Linked DNA regions of Macaca fascicularis. The protein of the gene in region 1 interacts with the protein of each later gene in a pairwise test. Links are inferred from orthologs where the notes say so. Each region holds a gene or a part of one and is shown on either strand. Other genes may lie near its edges.

The links.
Region 2: the proteins of keratin, type I cuticular Ha1 (region 1) and CCNC interact in binary tests that used the Homo sapiens proteins (3 or more experiments, as listed by UniProt). The two-hybrid records come from large-scale screens. The link is inferred for Macaca fascicularis from reciprocal best matches to the Homo sapiens genes KRT31 and CCNC.

Annotation. Positions count from the first base shown.
Region 1 is NC_088390.1:62,439,075-62,450,232, reverse strand, and holds keratin, type I cuticular Ha1, read left to right. Parts: upstream 1-4,030; 5' UTR 4,031-4,099; coding exon 4,100-4,447; intron 4,448-4,646; coding exon 4,647-4,729; intron 4,730-5,078; coding exon 5,079-5,235; intron 5,236-6,033; coding exon 6,034-6,195; intron 6,196-6,288; coding exon 6,289-6,414; intron 6,415-6,590; coding exon 6,591-6,811; intron 6,812-7,481; coding exon 7,482-7,635; 3' UTR 7,636-7,927; downstream 7,928-11,158.
Region 2 is NC_088378.1:75,755,503-75,766,130, forward strand, and holds part of CCNC (cyclin-C), read left to right. Parts: intron 1-2,843; coding exon 2,844-2,899; intron 2,900-3,698; coding exon 3,699-3,734; intron 3,735-4,136; coding exon of another isoform or gene 4,137-4,160; exon of another isoform or gene 4,161-4,301; intron 4,302-4,419; coding exon 4,420-4,511; intron 4,512-5,144; coding exon 5,145-5,212; intron 5,213-5,321; coding exon of another isoform or gene 5,322-5,332; exon of another isoform or gene 5,333-5,406; intron 5,407-8,235; coding exon 8,236-8,315; intron 8,316-9,501; coding exon 9,502-9,620; intron 9,621-10,486; coding exon of another isoform or gene 10,487-10,538; exon of another isoform or gene 10,539-10,581; intron 10,582-10,628. UniProt on the Homo sapiens protein: Component of the Mediator complex, a coactivator involved in regulated gene transcription of nearly all RNA polymerase II-dependent genes.

The sequences.
Region 1 (11,158 bases):
GTGGCATGATCTTGGCTCACTGTAACCTCAAATTCATGGGCTCAAGCAATCCTCCTGCCTCAGCCTCCAGAACATCTGGGACTAAAGTGTGCTCCACCAAGCCTGGCTCGTTTTTAAATTTTATTTTATTTTAATTTTTTTTAGATGGAGTTTCGCTCTTGTTGCCCAGGCTGGAGAGCAATGTTACGATCTCTGCTCACCGCAACCTCCGCCTCTTGGGTTCAAGCGATTTTCCTGCCTCAGCCTCCCAAGTGGCTGGGATTACAGGCATGTGCCACCACGCCCGGCTAATTTTGAAACTCATTTTTAATATTTTTTTGTAGACATGGGGTCTCGTTAAGTTGCCCAGGCTAGTCTTGAACTCATGGGCTCAAGTGATCCTCCCACCTCAGCCTCCCAAAGTGCTGAGATTACAGATGCAAGCCACTGTGCCCAGTACCCATTTTCTATTTACATTGAATACAAACATATTTCCAAATGTCCATCTTACACCTTCTAAATATCTCATCTCCTTAACTTCTGGCTATTTCTCATACATATTGGGGACCCATCTTGGCCTGAATTGTTCATAAAAAACATTTTTTTCACCAGAACTACGATTCTTTTGTTTTAGTTTAGTCTTATGCTCAGCATAGAGAAGCTGTGTAATAAATGTGTTCTGAATTAAATTGAACTAAATAATGAATGTGGGTTTGATAGCCCACTGACTGCTCAATTTCTCCTTGAATGAAAAAAATTTGCAACTATTCCAACTAGGAAACTAAGAGAATACATGAATTCTATCCCTTGCCTGTGTGAGGTCATGGGGACCTTACAACCCTGGGGTCCCATTTTCCCCACTAATTCAAGGAGCAAATTCACTCAAGCCCACTGAGATCTTAGAAACACTGCAAGAAAGAAGCTAGATTTACAAGAGATGGCAGCATTGTGTTTACTCACCAGCCAGTCTCTCTGTGGTCCCCATCCTGAATTCTTGTGCCACTTCACATTCTGCAGGGCAACCAGCAGGGAGAAAAAGGAATCTCTAGGAGTAACCAGAAGATAACAGGGGTCGCTTGTTCTCTCCTGCATCTTCTATGTGGCTGTTGATGGGCCATGACCTGCAGCCAGTGCAGGACTGACTCTCCCTGCTTCATTTCTCCTTTCTTCTCTTCCCACTCCTTATTCCTTCAGGAACAGGCAGTGTTGCTCCTTTTAGACCTTACACTGCCTGGGTGTAGATGGCAGTATATTTCTCAGCCACAAACAAATCTTAAGCTGGATCACAGAGGTGATGCTTTGGTCTGGACACCTTGGAACAATGTCACTTCTTTCAGAGGCCTCAGAAGCTGCAGTCCCGTGTCCATAGATCTTTTGAGTCAACTCGATTTATGCCTTGCAGGACACTCAGCATGGTGGGCCACTCCTCAGTCTATTGGCTTATTTTGCCTTGGCTTCTTCTCAGCTTTGCATTCTCCAGGTTAGCCCCTTGGAAGCTGGGCTAACTTTGTCTGATTTGTTGCATGATTCTGAAGATTCTTCCCTCCTAACTTTCTTCCTTGTCTCTTCTTTTTCTTGTTATCTCTCCTCGTCTCCATCTCTTTCCATTTTTCTGATCTCTCTGCATTGTACAAAAATTCTATGTTTGCTTTCTTGTCAATCCATTCCTTGAATCTTCTTATACTTAGAGCCTAAACACTCTTCTTTGACTACAGTCTCCATGAGGCTATGCCGGCCAGTCAGTAGATAGGACCCAAGAGCTTGGAGAAAACTGCTGGCATTTAGTCTGGGCTTAGGTTAAAGCCTCCCTGGCTGGGGAAGAAGAAAGGGCTGAGGAAATAGCTGCTTGCTGGAAAGCCAGTGCTTGGAGCAGGCTGACAAGAGTTAGGAAGCAGAAGGCCTGTGCTGTCATCTATAAGCTAGTGCTCATCAATCAGATGCATGAGCCTTTCCATTCACCCCAAGCCCAGATGAAATGAGACAGAAGCTCCCCACAGACAGCTGCCGCCTAGCCTTGCGTCCTTCCTCTGGAAAGTCTCAAGGGTAACAGCCTGTAGACCCGCCTATTTCTCCACGTTTAATTGTCTTGCAAGGAAACAAAGAAGTATAGATTTTATTATAAGTCTAGATCTTCCTTGTAGTGCTGTGGGTCTTTTCATCTGAATGGCATTATAATAAGCAGTGATAATGGTCTTGGGGAGTGTAGATGAAGGACCTTTTATCTGAGACCCAAGCAGAGTGTGACATGAATACCATCATGAAAGCTCAATGGGAGAAGCACTCCAATAAGTTGTCAATAAAACGGCAGCTCTGGCTGGCAGCCAAAGCCACAGTGGAGATGGGGGTGCTGCCTCCAGAGATGCAGGTGGTACCTGACGGTGCCTATAATTATGCAACTTTTATATATTCAGAACTTTGGCTACCTCTTCCTCAGATCTTCTAGTGCCTTCCTTCACCTCCCAAAGCAACCCCAAGTGACTCCAGCTTGCCTTGCAAAACCCCCTTGCTCATGCCGTGCTCAGCATTTTCTTTCCCGGTGCACAGGTCCTTGGATTTAATTATACAACCACAGAGACCTCCTTTGGTACCTTTAGACCTTTGGTTCTTAAAGCAGGGGGCATCTACAGTAGGGCTGGAGATGGGAAGCCCAGGACAGAATATAGCCCATCTTCCTGGTGTATCCTTTTCTCTTAGTGAATTGGGCAAAACATTTGAAAGTTTAACTGGAAATTTAAAAGGGGCTTTTAGAAAACATTAAAGCCAACATGGATATATTATGGAATATAGGGTCAATTCACATGAAGTTTAAAGATCAAATACATGTGATTTCATGCCTGTGGAGGCCCCTTTGGGCTATCTCCTGACTTTCCTAACATATCCATCTACTCTGTTTGGATACTATGGACACCCGAAGAAATGTTTGACAAACACCTCCTTATTCCTTTCTCTCTCCTTATTCCTTTCTCTCTGCCCCTAAATATCTTTTCTAGGTCATTTAAATGCCTTTTTCTGTTTGTTTGTTTTTTGAGACAGAGTCTCGCTCTGTCACCCAGGCTGGAGTGCAGTGGCGGGATCCTAGCTCACAGCAAGCTCCGCCTCCCGGGTTCTCACCATTCTCCTGCCTCAGCCTCCCGAGTAGCTGGGACTACAGGTGCCCGCCACCACACCCAGCTAATTTTTTTTTGTATTTTTAGTAGAGATGGGTTTCACTATGTTGGCCAGGATGGTCTCAATCTCTTGACCTCGTGACCCGCCTGCCTCGGCCTCCCAAGGTACTGGGATTACAGGCATGAGCCACCACGTCCAGCCTTAAGTGTGTTTTTTATGGCTCTCTCAGTTTGCACTTTTCAGCCTTCTTTCAAAATGATCTCTTACCCTAGAAACTTCTCTGTTCTCAAACTAGTTGTCAAAGCCTCTACCTTTAAAATTCTCTCCTCTACAATTTTCTTAAGTAATATGCAGTGTTGGCGGGGAAGTATTACACGGACCCGTAAAACACAAATTGCTGTCTAATATTTTCATCCCTGTCCTCCATTGATTCTAGTCATCCACCTTAAGGCTTCCAAGGCATGGAATGCTCCATCATTTGAAGATTCTTCTTTAAATGAAGAGGGAAACACAGTCCACTGTGGCCTCTTAATGCAACTTCTTCCTCAAACCAATCCGTGTTTCTCCCTAGAAATGGCAGGTGGACCAGGACATGAGTATGTTTACGGGCCTGCAGGATTATGTGACACAAAAGAATGTCATTGGATGGATCAACACCTCAATTAATGAGGGCAGATACTTGGGCTGGACTGTGTAGCCTCTTTGAAGGCCTACCACAGAACTCTGATTTCATGGGTGGACTGTCTGCGGAGGAGTCCTGACTTAGCAAGAAGCCCAAGTAAAGAATTTTATGGGACAAGGGACTCTTCTGAGGAAGGCAAATAACAGACTGAAGGAAAGGGCGTTTGAAAAGAAGTGAAGAAATAAAAAGAAAAAAGACATTACATACTGTGTCCACACCCTCTGCAGTGGGATATAAATGCTCCCTAGAGGAAGGAGACCCACAGCTCTGTGGCTTGGAGAATTTAGACTCTGTCTTCAGCCAGGCACTCACTCCCTCCCTCCCAGCACCATGCCCTACAACTTCTGCCTGCCCAGCCTGAGCTGCCGCACCAGCTGCTCCTCCCGGCCCTGCGTGCCCCCCAGCTGCCACGGCTGCACCCTACCCGGGGCCTGCAACATCCCTGCCAATGTGAGCAACTGCAACTGGTTCTGCGAGGGCTCCTTCAATGGCAGCGAGAAGGAGACCATGCAGTTCCTGAACGACCGTCTGGCCAGCTACCTGGAGAAGGTGCGTCAGCTGGAGCGGGACAACGCGGAGCTGGAGAGCCTCATCCGGGAGCGGTCCCAGCAGCAGGAGCCCTTGCTGTGCCCCAGCTACCAGTCCTACTTCAAGACCATCGAGGAGCTTCAGCAGAAGGTGAGGGGCATTGCTGTCATCTCCAAGCAAGAGAGTTTGCAGTGATTCTGTCTGTGATAGAGAAGTGTGTTTCTTGCTTCTGTGCTGTCATAATTCTTGCTTCCTCTTTTATTTCAAAATGTCTTTTTAAGTCATTTTTAAAAAGTTGATGATGTCATATTTATTTTCAGTCCTCACTAAGCCACCTCTCACTCCCCAGATCCTGTGTACCAAGTCCGAGAATGCCAGGCTTGTGGTGCAGATCGACAACGCCAAGCTGGCTGCGGATGATTTCAGAACCAAGTGAGTTGTTCGGAATTTGCACTAGTGTCCATTTCTTCTGTTTAATCTTTAGTTACAGAAAAGGGATTTCCATGGCTGTACTGAAAAACAGATCTACCCACTTGCTGTGAAGGATTCTGCAGAGGATTGGGGAGAACCAAGCAAAGAAATCACAAAAATAGATGAGGACTCACATCAATCTGTTTGTTTTGGGATGAATATTGGGTATTGATGGAGCCTCCAGAAACCTCTGTCTCCTGGGCCTATTCATTACAGAAAGTGGAAAGATAAGGCACATGAGGTTATCAAAAATCATTCCTGTGAGTGTTGAAGATCTACCAAGTAGTGCTCTGACCCGCTCCTTGTGCAGGTACCAGACTGAGCTGTCCCTGCGGCAGCTGGTGGAGTCGGACATCAATGGTCTGCGTAGGATCCTGGATGAGCTGACCCTGTGCAAGTCCGACCTGGAGGCCCAGGTGGAGTCCCTGAAGGAGGAGCTGCTGTGCCTCAAGAGCAATCACGAGCAGGTGAGACTAGAAATCAGAAATGCACAAACCTGTCTCAGCCTCTGACTCAGGGTAGCTTTAGTGATTAGGGGCAGCAGAATGCAGAGTATGAGTACAAGGCTGAGGGTTTCCTTTAAAAACATCACGGCAAGAGAAAAATTGGAGAGAGATAAGACCTGTTCATGTTCCCAGACAGGAAACATCTTTCACTTTAAACTAGCACATTCTTTGAGTTGCCCAGAGCAGCTCCATGTGCTTGAAATTGGTCAATAGTTATAGAATGAGTCCTAGCATTGCAGTGTTACTGCTTTGCAAAGTCTTTTTTTTTTTTGCCAAAGACCAAGAAAAAAAATCAAACCTTATAAATGTGAGTCTCTACTCTTTCAAAGTATTGGCGAATAGTGTTTGTGAGCTTCTTCCTCTCTCTCCTGGGAGGGGCCATGATATGCTCTTATCTCTTACTTGACAACAAGAGTTTTTTGATATACGGTCTGAAATTGCACAGCCAATTTTATTTTTTTTTTGTATGCTGAGGTCCTCACAGCCAGTTGTAAACTGGGAAAGTTGAACCTCAATTAGTCCATCCTTCAGTGGCATCCAAGCAAACTTTTGGGATTTTTTTCTGAAGCCAAGTGCCATGGCACAGCAGATGGTGGGGAGGGGGCTATGCCACATGGAGTGCCTTGAGCTGTCACAGACTGCTCCACTCAAAGTTTCTGTTCTGAGAGAACAGACTAACAGGGCTTCAACAAGCAATGCCATTCCTTAGAGTCCATTCTTTGCTGAGCATAGTAACTCTTGTATTTTCTGCATCCATAGGAGGTCAACACCCTGCGCTGCCAGCTTGGAGACCGTCTCAACGTGGAGGTAGATGCTGCCCCCACTGTGGACCTGAACCGGGTGCTAAATGAGACCAGGAGTCAGTATGAGGCCCTGGTGGAAACCAACCGCAGGGAAGTGGAGCAATGGTTCACCACGCAGGTGGGCATCTAAGCACGTGGCCACTCAGGACCCAAGGCCCACCCTATGGCCCCAGAGGCAGGGTCTGATCCTTTCTCCCCTTGGGTGTTTCAGACCGAGGAGCTGAACAAGCAGGTGGTATCCAGCTCGGAGCAGCTGCAGTCCTACCAGGCAGAGATCATCGAGCTGAGACGAACGGTCAATGCCCTGGAGATTGAGCTGCAGGCCCAGCATAACCTGGTGTGTATTGTTCTGACCTGCTGGTGAGCAATGGGAAATTGGAAGGCAGAGTCCTGGGGATGCCCTTGGGGCCACACACTCTCCTTAGCTCTTGGAGCTTGTGACTTCCTTGGAATCCTATGAAGAAACCCTTTGAAGGAGCAGCTCTCTGACATTCCGGATCTTCCCCACCACAGCGAGACTCTCTTGAAAACACACTGACTGAGAGCGAGGCCCGCTACAGCTCCCAGCTGTCCCAGGTGCAGAGCCTGATCACCAATGTGGAGTCGCAGCTGGCGGAGATCCGCTGTGACCTGGAGCGGCAGAACCAGGAGTACCAGGTGCTGCTGGATGTGCGTGCCCGGCTAGAGTGTGAGATCAACACGTACCGGAGCCTCCTGGAGAGCGAGGACTGCAAGTGAGTACATGGGCAGATGTATTTGATGAAGCGGTGCACGTGTGAGTGTAATACTCAGACACAATGCAAAGATTGCATACCTTGGAAAGGAAATTATGCCTTCACACTAGACATGCTCAAACAGAACTCAGACAATATAATATGGCCATCATTTAAAACATAAATGGTTTGGTAGCAAGAGTTGTTTGATGTACAAACTGAAATTGCACTGCCAAGTCTTTGCATTCTACTATGATAATATGCATGACTGCATGATATGTGATCAATGCCTTACTTTTTACAATACCGTATTGTCTAGTGGGTACATTCCCATAGACTACCTGATTTGATCTTATAATTACCACCAGGTGGGCTGGATCAGTATTTCCTCCAATCTATAGGAAAGTAAACTGGGGCTTGGAGAAGGTAAATGACTCAACCCATGTCATCAGTTTGGCATGAACGGATTTGAGAGTAGACATCAGAGTTTCAGAGTTTCTGTCTACCTTGGTGCTCTATGGCAGGGAGACCATGAACAATGTGAGCTATCTTTGTAGCAGGGGAGCCTGTGCCTTCTCTGTTCTAGGCTGGGCCAAGTCCTGACAGGCCTTCTTACCCTTGGGGATATCTCTGGCATATGATTTTAAAATTTTCCTTAACTCATCTTTCCACATCATTCTTTTGTCTCCAGTCTGCCCAGCAATCCCTGTGCCACGACCAACGCGTGCAGCAAGTCCATCGGACCCTGTGTCTCCAATCCCTGCACACCTTGCGTTCCTCCTGCCCCCTGCACACCCTGTGCCCCACGCCCCCGCTGTGGGCCCTGCAATTCCTTCGTGCGCTAGAACCTAGGAAATGCCGGAGGAGCAAGGATGCAGGGCCCAGGACTGCAGAGCTGTGACCTGGCTCTGGTTTAACAAAAGGGGCCTGAAAACATCATTTGCATGGCTGGAGTGGCCCCCGTAAGGCAGCCGAGAAACTTACCCAAAGCCTGCAGCCTCCCCAACTACTCTAGACTGTCCTGCTCACCCTTTCCTTCCTGGGGGTCTGTTCCTTCCTATGCTCACCCAGAGAACTCTCTGATGTCCCCATGGCCCTCCCTTTTAACCTCCTAATAAATATAATTTCCTTGGCAAAGCAGATGCCTTTTTCATTTGTATTCATTTGTTTCAACGTGCTCATCACCTGAGTAAGCTGTAAAAAGCCACTTGAAAGACAGGCCATATAATGGCCTGACTCTTGGATCCCAGAGCAGTTTCATGCCTCGGGGGCAGATGGCGAATCTGGTGCCCTGGACCCAGGAGCGAGGCAGGCAGGCCTGTGAGAAGGAGGGTGGAGGGGCTGAGTGCTGCAGTCCCTATCTCCCCCTGGTCGTTCTTGGATTTTTCCTTCTGACTTGGACATCTCCCAGAGCTGCTTGTATCCAAATCTGAATGGAGGAGGCATGAGCTGTGCGCTGGAAAGAAGCTCTGGAAAACTCATCTTCTTCCAGTGGGAGTTTCGGGTTCAGTGCTGTATTATTCTGGGTTATTGGTGGTCCAGGAATTTCCCAGTGAAGAGACCCTCTGACCTGCCCTCCTGTGCCCAAGAATTCCTCCTTTCCCTTGTGTGGGTCAATCATTATCAGCCTGGGCTTCCAGCTCCTCTCTTCCTTCCTCGACTCCAGGTCTTAGAGACCCCATCAACTCTTTATTTGATCCTTTGGCCTTTCTCAATTCAGTCCAACCAGTACCTGTTGAATAGCTACTCTGTGCAGACGCTGGGTGGTGGATTGGGGAGAGACACATGAAGAAAGACGCAGTTCCTGACCTCAACTTATTTATAATTTTTTAAAAGGGATAAAACTAGTCCCCGAGTGGTGCTATTGTAAGGCCCAGTTCCCTGGCACTGTGAACAGCTGGTGGGTGCTACAAGGAACTCTGAGTACTGAAAGGGACAATGCTGGCGCCTGATGGCATCAGTGTATATCAAGAAAGGGCATCTTTCTTTGACTCTCATGAAGACCCATGAAAGTGCTTAACTATAGACTTCCTGAAACCTCAGAGGGCCATTATGATCTGAAGGGATCAGAGGTCTCTGACTTTTCCCAGCACACCAGGCTTTCCTAGCAGGAATCAGACTCCACTTGGGTGAAACATAGTCCTGTGTCCTAAAATGATCAAGTGAATTGAAATTGTATATATATTTGATAAAGCAATGATTCTCTCCACCATAATTTCTCCCTTGATTCTTCTTTTTAAAACTCAAGTTCCAGGATGGATTTGGATTCGTGCTTTGCTGCGTGGCTTGTGAGAAGCCTCTGACCTGGAATTCTGTCTCTACTATGATTCACCCAGTGTCTGTGATTTCCTCCAAACCCAAGGTCAAGCTCAGTCCAGACGGTCTCTCTCATGTTGCTTGTTTCCTTTCTCCACATCCTGCTTAAGTATATTATTTTACAATAATACAAAAGTACTGCTAATAGCTCCTGTGGTAGACAGAATAATTGTCCCCTCCATCTCTCACCAAAATGTTCATGTTCTAATTCCTGGAACCTGGGAATATGTTAGATTACCTATAAAAGGAAATCGAAGTTGCAGAGGGAATTAAAAGTTGCTAATCAACTGACTTTATGATAGGGAGATTATCTCGGATTATCAGGTGGACTCAGGGCTCTTAAAAGTGGAAGAGGGAGGCAGAAGAGAGTGAGAAGGAGAGGAAACTATGGACATAGGTCAGAGTGACGCGATGTGAGAAGAACTTGCCTTGTCCTTGCGATTTGAAGATGCAGGAAGTGCGTCATGAGCCAAAGAATGTAGGTCGTCTCTAGACCCTGGAAAGAGCAAGGATTCTCCTCGAGATCCTTTAGAGAGGAACACAACCCTGCCAGCCCTCTGATTTTTTCTTATTATGGTAAAATATGCACAACATAAAATTTACCATTTTAGCAATTTTTAAGGTACAATTCAGGGGCATTAAGTACATCCACATTGTTGTACCCTATGCACAGATTCCCACTAATTTTTGGCAAGTCTCTTCAGGAACTGCCTTTAGATTAAATTATGTGTCACAATCCTATGAAGGTGGTTTTAAAAATGATCCAACTTGATTGTCTACGTCACTCACAAGGTTTCTCTTTGGACAGCTTTAAAAAAGTCAAACCTATGCTCAAAGACCAAAGGTTTGCTATCAGCAAACTGGATATTAAAAGGATACGGACATTAACAAAACAGAAATTTCTAAACATGCTTTGACTAGAGACGGCATCCTGGAATAAAGGAAAATTCTGGCCGGAGGCAACATTTATAGGATCTGTAAATTCTGCCATGTTTTTTAAACCATAAAAATCTCAATTGTTGTAGCTATACCTCCCCTTAAACATTTGCAGGTGGCTTTCAAATTATTTCCAGGTGCTCTGTCATCATCATCAGACACATGGCAGGACGGTGGTTCTCAGCCTTGGCTGTGTTTGAAGTCACCCAGGGAACTTAAAAAATTTTTGAGGCTTGAATCTGCCCTCAGGGAGTCTGATTTAATTGGTCTGGGATTCAACCCTGCCACTGGGAGTTTTAGAAGCTCTACAGGTGATGAGCCTCCAAAAGCCAGGTTGAGACTCACTTACCAAAACCTGGATTCTAGTTCTGACATTGACACCCTTAATAGCTCTGTGTCTTCGGATAAGACATGTGGCTTCTCCTAGCTGTAGTTTCCCCAAAGGCAAAGTGGAGGTAACCATGTCTTCTCTACTTACTTTATAAACTTGCCAAAGGAAGCATGGAAAACTGTCTATGGAAACACTTTGTAGACCACATGTTTTTATTAGGATTATTGACAATTTTTATTATTGCTGGTATAGCTAAACTTCTTAAGAGTAAAAAAAGTATCATCGTTTTCTTTTTCTTTTTGGCTTTAGGTTCAACAGCAGGATTTGCTTATTGTCCTATTGTCTTTCACACCATAAATTCTTTCTTCTTTAAACCCAGCTCTGCACCAGGAGTGTATGGTCAGCTCAGCATTATTTGATTCCTTTTGGCCCTAGGCCCTTCTTGTGATGGGTGGGAGGGCAGCTCCTTTTTCAGTTGTCTGGGCTATTTGGCATGTCTGATGCTCTTTGGTGACCTGTTTTATTGCCTCCTGAACTATCTTGGTCTAAACTCTTAGCTGGCAGGATATACCACTCTCCGACCTTTGACTTTTCCCTATGCTTATCGCCTGGATATTTTTGCTGTTTCTTTTCCTTTCTGTTTCCCTGCAAATTTTATGTTTACTTTGGGATAGAGCTAAGGCACTTTTTTTTTTTTCATCCTTACATCTGGAGTTAAAGCCATCATATGAGTTTTTTGAGGCCTAAGGCTGCTGTTAGCATCTGCAGGCAGAACAGCAGGCTAT
Region 2 (10,628 bases), on another chromosome or scaffold:
ACACAAGATGGACCTGGACCATCTCATAATGCCAGTAATAAAGAAGTATTCAAAACAAACAAGAAAAACAAAAACCTACATTGATGAGGATATGTCAGAAGGATATAGGAGCCAACTAAGAGAGCACTGACCAAAACTGAAATAATTTGACCATCAAAATTTTAAAAATAGCATTGGGTAATAACTTAAAGTATAAACTAAATATCCATGAGTCCATACTGATATAAATAAATGAAGGAGAAAAGACATGTCTTCCATGCTGAAGAATTCCAAATAATATATGTAGCTACCCTGCCCTCAAGTAGAGGGAGCATAACTCCCACTCGTAAGGTGTTGGCTATACATGTGTACATATGGAAAGGGAGGAGAAAAGTAACTTTACAGTGGGGAAACCTGACAAATACTGCCTTAGCCAGGCGATCAAGGTCAATAGCAACAGTGATAAATCACATTAATACCATGTATCCTTGATGTGATATGATGAAGATGGTACTTTGTGGTCTTCCTGTCAAAAACCCATGTTCTCTAGTCTAATGAGAAAAACATCAGACAAATTCCAGTAGAGGAGCATTCGACAAAATACTTGACTGGTACTCCTAAAAACTGTCAAAGTCATCAAAAACAAGGAAAGGCTAGAAAACAGTCACAGCCAAACATCCTGAGGAAACGTGACAAATAAATGTAATGTGGTATCCTAGATGAGACCCTAGGATAGAAAAAGGACATTGGTACAAACTAAGGAGATCTGAACAAAGTACAGAGTTTAGTTAATAATAACATTTCAATATTGGGTCAGTAATTGTATCAAATGCACCATACTAACGTAAGATGTTAGTAGTAGGGGAAGCTGGGTGAAGGCATGTCTTAGTCCACTTGGGCTAATATGAGAAAGTACCATAGACTGGGTGGCTTTCACAACAGACATTTATTTCTCACAGTTCCGGAGGCTGGCAAGTCTATAACGGTGGGTATAAGAGAACTGTGCATGATCTCAGTTTTTGAGTCCACAAAAATAAAAGGCAGAGGAATATAATGAGGTAGAGTTTGTTTTGCTTTTTTCAAGGGAAGTTTGAGCATATCAGTATGTGATGGAAGATTTACTGAAGGAGGAAAGGTTAAAGATGAAAAAAAATAGTAGGAGTTATCAATTGAATAGATGATAACAAATGTATAAGTGGTAAGACAAACAATAGAGAGGAGGGAGGCATTTTTCTCCAAGTTGAAAGAAAAGGATTAAAAGATAGAAAAAAATGCAGAGCAGTTTTAGCGTGGAGTAACAGATATGTTGTGACAGTATCAGGTAAATATATTCTCAATAGAGGTGTTAGTGTCCAGGTCCAGGGGATGGGGATGTAGATTTGTTTTATATACAGAGGTAATTTTACTTTGTTGATTGTCTACCATTATATAAGAACCTGTTTTCCTGGTATACTTTACATCACAAGGATTTGTAAAACTCAGAAACCTTAATAGGTACGTCTTAATTTAAATAAAGGAGAGAAGAAAGGAAAGATTATAAATTTACTAATGTCAAGTTTAAATTTTTCTAGGTTTCAAATCCTGGCAGATATTACGCATCTAAATTAGCTGTAGGGCACTTAATTTGCAAAACAAATCTTTTTGAAAATATACTGCATAGACGGAATGGAATTTCTTTTCTTTTTTTTTTTGAGATGGAGTCTCACTCTGTCACCCAGGCTGAAGTGCAGTGGTGTGTTCTCAGCTCACTGTACCCTCCACCTCCCAGGTTCAAGGGATTCTCCTGCCTCGGCCTCCCGAGTAGCCGGGACTACAGGCGCATGCCACTACACTTGACTAATTTTTGTATTTTTAGTAGAGATGGGGTTTCACCATGTTGGCCAGGCTGGTCTGGAACTCCTGACCTTAGGTGATCCACCTGCCTTGGCCTCCCAAAGTGCTGGGATTACAGGCATGAGCCACCGTGCCTGGCTAGAAATGGAATTTCTTTTAATTTCAGTGAGATCACTTGGGCTTTGTGCAAATGGAAGCTGACACCAAACATTTTTTAGGACCTGTCAGTAAATACTTGGTTGAATTGAATGTGTCATAATGGCTTGAATACAATTTCTCAAATAGTACTTATATGTATATGCTCACACCATTTTAAAGAGATGGGGGATTGATGGTTAACATTGTTTTTTCATTTGTACTTTAGTGACTAACCAATAAAGTAATAGATAATAGAGTACTACTTTATGTGTTACTACTACTACTTTGAGTAACTTTATGTGTTACTCTAGAGTTTAAAACTCTAGAGACCTTTGCACATATATTAATGCTTTTATTAAAATATATATTTTGATAAATACCTGGTCATTGTAAAAAGTTTAGAAAGTGCAGATTGGTAAAAAGTTCTTAAATCTCACAGATAACCACTGTTAACATTTTTTTGGTATACTATCCTCCCAATATTTTATATGTATATGTTTTACCAACTATATATATTGTAAACACATATGTAACCCCCGTGTTCCTTCTAAGCGCAATCACTGGAAAACAGAAGAATACCATTCTATAGCTAAAAAGGTTTTAGAAATATAAAAGCCAGTGATTTTTTTTTTTCCTGATCTTTTTCTTTTTTAAACATCAGAACCCTTTCTCAAGGTAGTAAATATAAAATTGAAGCTGTGTAGGGTGTCCTGCCACCTAGTCTTTCCCCTTCCCTGAAAATAAATAAAAATCTGTGTCCCTAAGTATTGCCAAGAATTCCTACTGAAAATAATTTTGTTCTACCCTCTAATATTCTGCTCTATTAAAGGAATTTTGAGTTAATTCATTTCCCATTTTCTCAGTTTAAATTGTTTTTTGTTTTTTTTCTGCAGTAAAAACTAGATTTTCATATGCCTTTCCAAAGGAATTTCCTTATAGGATGAATCATGTAAGTATATGGTATAAAATAGAACACTTATCAAAGCTATATATAAATTAGCTCTATACTATATTAGACTAAATTTAGTAGTTTCCTAGAAATGGCAGTTTCAAATATTACATAAATACAGACATTATTCTAAATTAAAGCTAAATAACTTTTACCATTTAAAAAAATACTTCATAGTAGTGATTATCAACCCTGGCTGCTCATTAAATCACCTTGGGAACTTGTAAATAATACTGATGTTGGATCCTTTCCAGAACAACAAAATCAGAATTTTCAGGCTTGGGGCTCCCAACATTGGTACTGTGTAAAAGCTCCCAGGTGATACTACTATTCAGCTGGGATTAAAAACTAATGGAACAATATGAAATATAAGGTGAGTTTTTATTGACATTTTAATAGGTATGTCCTTTTTCCACCTTGCAAGGGATTTGTTTATTCTCTTTAAGTTACATTTTTTTAATTAAGTAGAAATAATTGTATTAGAAAGTATACTGGAAAATCTGATGGTTTTACAGGATATTTTAAATAAAAGTGAGTAATAAGAATGATTGTGAGAAGCTGGCTTTTCCTTACAAGGATTAAAATCTTTATAATCATAATTGCATGTATAATATAGTAATTTTTTATTGCAGATATTTATTTTAATATAAACTATGTTTATTGTCTGGATTTTAAAAACTTTTTAGTAAACATTTTTAATAATTACTATAATGTCTGTAATTTATGTTAGATTAAGTGGATGGACTTATCTAATTTGGTTTCATATTAACATTTCATTGATAATCTTTGTTTTCAACAGATATTAGAATGTGAATTCTATCTTTTAGAACTAATGGTAAGTAAATCTTCTGTGATTAATAGATTAAAACATTTTTAAAATTTAATGAAGTTGGAAATTATTTAAAGAAATTATTTTAGGGAGGTACATTTTAAAACCATCCACCTGATATGTGATGGTGAAATCATGGTAGCCTATTTATATTAGCATCTAGAGTCTCTCTGATGCCTGTAAAATAATTTGTATATCCTACTTAGGGATGAGAAAATTTTTCTGTTCTATAGTAAGTAACTATAATGAAAGGATTACAAACAGACAAGTCAGGACATTAAACCACCGTAAATTATGTGCACAATTTGTGTGTGCGTGCAGTGTTATTTAAAGATAGATTATGTCTTTGGCAGAATTCTGCTCCTCCAGTTGGGAATTATGGATTTATAGGCTAATAAGAGGTTTCAGTGTGTTGCAGATGTGACACTTTGAGTCTCTAAGGGAATGAATGGATGCTGACTGACTGCCAACCGATTTATCAAGGTATATTCCAGAGAGAGCACTGCCTTCACTATTATAGTAGAGTTTAGGGCTGTCATACTGCTTGCTTAAGAGAATAAAAGGGAAGCAAGCATGAGTTAGTGAAATTCACTTTGAAATACACAATTACAAATCAGTTGGGTAATGATAACATTTTTGTGTTGTAATAAATCTGTTTTTTATACATACACATTTTTTAAACTGTTTCTAGGATTGTTGCTTGATAGTGTATCATCCTTATAGACCTTTGCTCCAGTATGTGCAGGACATGGGCCAAGAAGACATGTTGCTTCCCCTTGCATGGTAATTAGAACAGAAGTTATTAATAGTGTAACGTGTTATTAGATAGGAAGGTTGACAATTAAATATGAAGTCCAGTATATTTAAAGTCATTAAACTATTGCCCCAAGATATTTTATGTTGAGCAAAATACCACTTGTTGAATTTTAATAACTATAGTGGTGTAAATGCCAAAATGAAAACAATCCTAAATTATCTGTTCCATAAATATACCTATTGAAATTTAATTTTATACAAAACACAGACTGTTAACATAAAAATTAAGACTGAAGCTATCTTTAAAGTAATCAGAATACTTTTTGGTAGTATGCAACATACATACAAATTTACTGTATAATTTCTGTTTTTCTAATTTGATTTTTCAAAAATTAGAAAAATGTGTTTATAATTTGTTATGAGATTTTGAAATTTAAAATATATTTAGCTGTAATTTTATTCATTGATACGTGCTTATTTGTTATCACATTCATGTATCCATCCTTTTGCCTTGATGTTTTCACTTTTATAGCTGTGCTTCAGTAATATAAAAGGAAATAAATGTGTGCAAAGATGAGAAATCTGGCCCTCTCTGGAGGAAATGTACAACCAGATGAGGTAGTTCTGCTTTCAGTAATAATATGATTTACATTTCTATAGGAGGATAGTGAATGATACCTACAGAACGGATCTTTGCCTACTGTATCCTCCTTTCATGATAGCTTTAGGTATGTAAGCATGGTGTGCCTTTATTAGTTAAATTAGTTATAAACCTATTTAGGTCATCCTAAACTAAATTTCACCCTGTTGTACTTTGTGTTTTTATGTTCCATGAAGTAATAGACTAATCCTTGCATGTGAACTTTCAATAATATGAACTGCAACTGTCACAAATCAGGATTATTATTCCCCCACCCCCTTTTTTTGGTAAGTTTTTTTTTTTAAACCATTCAAAATAGTTTTAATCAGTGTCTGAATAGAACATATTTGTTTATTTAGAGGGAAAAGTTCAGAATTAAGCCAGCTAATATTAGTTGTAGCATGTAAAATAATTGGGCCTTTCATATCTTGAGCCCAAACAAGTACTCAGAGGTTGTGTAAAGGAGCATCTGTGGTCCATAATGCTTGGCTGGAGGAAGAAGTTAGATACATTCATTCTACTGTCTGTGGAAAGCAGTGCTGTAATGGGTGGAGTCAGATAGTCCTAGGCTTAAACTTTACTTCCTTTACAATTGTGGGAAAATTATCTGACCTTTCCGTGTTTGTTTCCTTAATTGTAAAATGGAGAGAATACTAGTAATTCCACTGAGCCATTTGAAGAATTAAATGAGATAGCTTGTACAGCACCAAATAATGCCTGTTATATATTGGGCACTTGTTAATTTTGTTCCTTTTCCTTCTGTTGATTTTTTTTTTTTTTGAGATGGAGTCTCGCTGTCTCCCAGGCTGGAGTGCAGTGGTGTGATCTCAGCTCACTGCAACCTCTGCCTCCTGGATTCAAGCGATTCTTCTGCTTCAGCCTCCTGAGTAGCTACAGGAGGATTATAGGTATGCACCATCATACCTGGCTAATTTTTGTATTTTTAGTAGAGATGAGGTTTCACCATGTTGGCCAGGCTGGTCTTGAATTCCTGACCTCAGGTGATCCACCCTCCTTGGCCTCTCAAAATGCTGGGATTACAGGCATGAGCCACCGTGCCCAGCCCCTTCTATTGATTTTTATAACTCCATCCTCTTGATTTTCCCCTCTTATTTTCCATTGGTTTGTCTTTGTTCAGTTGTTAATTATTCCTTAAATGTTGATGTTTCTTGGCCTTCTTACATCAGGGCTGACAAATAGGTTATACTTACACTCCTCTATTACTGGCAGCTCCCTGAAAGGACTGGATTTGAAAGGATTTTTGAAGTGGTGTCTGGGTTCAGCGGGTACGAATACTGGGATCTCTATAGGTAGGAAGGAAGGGATAACAACATGTGTCACATCTTTGCCATCCCTGCAGTTTTCTTCTTGGGTACTTTCCATGAGATTCATGGCTTCTACTATCACTTATGTGCTGAAACATTTAAATTTCTTTATTTAGCCAAGATCTTGCCACTTTTCAGTTCTTTATATCCATCTTCCTTTTACATAGCTCCACTTGGCATCCCAGCAGCACCTCAGCCTCATGATGAGGATTGAGCTCATCACTTTGCCCCAAAATATGTTCCTCCTTTTAATGTCTTTGCCAGCTTGGTGAATAGCACGAGTTATATACCTTAGTTGGAAACCCAGCAGTTAGGCCCTTTCATCTCCCTCAATACCCACATGTAGTTGTTTACCAATACATTTTGTGCCTTCATCTCAATTGTTCCTTCTGTAATCTCATAGTCATCTCATTTCTATCCATGTTACCACAGCAGTCTCCTAACTGGCTTATTAGCCTACAGCACTCCCACCCTCAGAGAGCCTGTCTATCCTCCAAACTGTTGAGTGAAGCTAGTGGTTTCACCTGGGGATAATTTTGCCCTGAGGGGACATTTGGCAATGTTTGGTTTTAGTTGTCATAACTAGGGTAGGGTGCTACTGGCATCTAGTGCGTAGAAGCCAGGGATGCTGCCAAGCATCTTGTAGTATTCAAGACAGTATCAGAGAATTGTTCAACCTAAGATGTCAGTAGTGCCAAGATTGAGAAACCTGGAGCCAGCCGAATTCATCTCCCAATTGATATACATACTATTCTCTTCTCCCACTCTTATTTTTTTTTTTTTTGTTAAGACTTGGCTTAGATATCTCCCAGTGACCCTCCCCCACCCTTTCGGCATCACCTCAGTCTGGGTTTAGGATCCTTTCTCGATCTCCAGTGTACTCTATGCATGCCCATGTTAATAGCATTGTCCACTGTATTTTAATTTCCTGTTTTTATCATTTCAGTCCTTTAGTTTTTTAACCCCTTCTTGACTTAAGCCCTACTCATAGCTTTGCTTGACTTAGGGCAACCAGTGTGTCAGTTCACATTTGAGTTGCTATTTGCCTAGAATGTCATCCTTAGCAAAGACATATGGATAACCAGACCAAGGAGTATAACTTAAGCTGGGGTCAGTTCAGGATATCCAGGCTGCTCAGTAGAAATTGTTTTAGGCAAAGTTGTGATGTAGATTGTTCTCTTTTGTTTATATTGTATATAACATATATAACTAATTTTGTATACAGTATATTACATTTTTTTTCTAACTTTTATTTGATTACAACACTGAATTCTGTAAGGATGTGCCCAGCTTTCACATAACTTGATCATATGCTAATAATGAAAAGGAAGAAAAAAGACGAGGCAACACTGCTTTTAACTGAAATGTGGAAATATAGTCAACATTGTTAAAACCTAGTGTATTAATTGACATTTTTGTTTGTTTTTTCGCACTGACTTCTGGGTGCAGTTTAACTGCTGCTTTGTACACTACTCAGAGATAACTTCCCTTTTCCATTCTCCTCACTGAATGTTTTTTCTCTTTAACTTGCCTGACTCTCAAGGCAACTGCACCGTGACTAGCACGCAGCGAGGACCAGATGTCAAGAACTTGATGTAATTAGTAATTTTTTCTGTCTCGGATTACATTGTTGAGGTGGTCAATGGTAACTCTCATATGTAGCTGTTTAATTTTTTTTAAAGAGTGTTGGAAAATACACAGGAAATTTTTTAGTGAAAAATCTTTGTTAGGTCATATTCTGTGTTTGCAGTTAAACATGGATAGTTGTCTTTCATTTTCATTTCAGCTTGCCTACATGTAGCCTGTGTTGTACAGCAGAAAGACGCCAGGCAATGGTTTGCTGAGCTTTCTGTGGATATGGAAAAGGTATTCTGTAAAATTCCCTTAGTTGTATGTAAACTTGAATGTTTAAAAATTAATGTCGTATGTACTTATCATGAGCCTAAAATCTTATGATGTCCACCAGGCTAAGAAGATTATTGGTTACAAAATATTAAGAAACATGGGCGGGGTGTGGTGGTTCATGCCTGTAATCCCAGCACTTTGGGAGGCCTAGGTGGGCGGATCACCTGAGGTCAGGAGTTCAAGACTAGCCTGACCAATATGGTGAAACCGCATTTCTACTAAAAATACAAAAATTAGCCGGGTGTGGTGGCATGCAACTGTACTCCCAGCTACTCGGGAGGCTAAGACAGAATTGCTTGAACCTGGGAGGCGGAGGTTGCAGTAAGCTTAGATCATGCCACTGCATGTGAGCCTGGGCAACAGAGCAAGACTCCGTCTTAAAAAAAAAAAAAAAAAAAAAAAGTTTGGTAGGAAGACTTAATACTGATTATTTAAGCTATGTATCTCTTTTCAGTTTAGGATTAAACAGAATGGTAAACTTTTGGTTTGATTGGTTGCAAAGTAGCCTCTAATTCCCAGGATTATTTTAAAAGCTCCCTGGTAACCACTGAATACTACTGTGAACTTCTGTAACATAACCTATCTCCTGGCAAAGTGGCTTTTGCTGTGTTTCTAGCTTTTGTGCTCAAGTGTTAGATGCATTAAAATTAATCCTAAGGTTAGGTTCTACTCAGGTGGGAAAAAACGGCTAATTTGGAAACTAGTTATTTCAAATTTGTAGCTGCCAGTTTTTGAACACCTTAATGTATGTGTAGTTAACAGAGAATCAAAACATCTTTTGTGCACTACCCCCCCATTAAGTTGTTTAAAATAATTTATACTAGAGGAGTGTGCCCTATAATGGTATATTCCCTCATGATTAGAACCTTTATTCTTAGTATGTTTCCGTTTAAAAGATATCATCAGATGGAAGGAAATCAACTGCAGAGATAGATAAGAATGGACAATGCACACATGCTGAAAAATGAGAGGCTAGAAGGAAAATCCTAAACAGCATTGTGGTGAAAAATACTGCTTTCAAATTTATCAGGATTTAAGGACAGAGACTACTCTTTTCTGAGGGTTGTGTAGTAAGTGATGCGCACTCTTTATATAATAAATGTTGCTTGTTTTTGCCACTGAGAACTTCTCAAATATTTTCTTCTAGATTTTGGAAATAATCAGGGTTATTTTAAAACTATATGAGCAGTGGAAGAATTTCGATGAGAGAAAAGAGATGGCAACCATTCTTAGTAAGATGCCGAAACCAAAACCACCTCCAAACAGGTACTTTGTAGACTTTAATTATTGATGTCATTTAATTATATATCATACTTACCATATTTTTCTTAGATTATGTTGTTTTGTAGTTTTTAAAACATTTCTTCTAAAACTTCATGATCCATGTTAATTTAATTTTTTAAATTTGTGATTTGATTGAAAATGTCTCATTTTAAAAAAATCGCTAATCTGATTAGTAACTTTTCCTAATGCAGTGAAGGTATATTACAGGTATCTCTCAACATATGGTCATATACCATAAATTTAAAGCTGACAGAATTAGGCAAGTTCATCTGAAATTCAGGGCAGAATTCAGAACTATAGTAGTTTCATGTCAGTTTGACTCTGTGCCATCTTTTTTTTTTTTTTCCACTGCCAGCTATTTGTCCTGTTTTATAAATTTCAGTAGCAATTTTCAAAACTTTCAGTGAATGATCTGATATTGTAAAGATAAAGAATTTTGGTTTTAGAGTGACCCTAAGATCCACAGCACATAAGAATATATTTTTGCTAATAATGAATCACCTGTGCTAAGAGGGTTTTTGCTGTTGTTATTGGGTGTGTGTGTGTGTGTGTGTGTGTGTGTGTGTGTGTGTGTGTGTTTTAAGTAAGATCTATTCATTTAGTTCAGTGGTTCTCCGCCCTCACTGTGTATCAGTTCATGTGGGGCAGGGAGAAAAAGTCAGAAGGGAAATAAAGAAATGCCATCCATTTTAATTGTTTCTTTAGAAAAATGATTGTTATATAACAAGATAGATTTATGGATTGCTACTGATAAGTTAATGTTACAATTTGGAAAAAGTTAATACTTTATTCAAGGAGCTGTTTAAGGCAGTCATTCAAACAGCTACCTTTGGATGCATTTTTTGCAGAAATTCCCTGAGTGATTCTCCACTAGTGGCAGGGCCTGAAGCTGCAAGATGATGGTGGACAAGATAAGGCAATAATCCTATTGCCAAAGTTACTGGTATTTTCAGTTTTAGTTATTTTTAAGTATTCAGCATTTTTATTTTA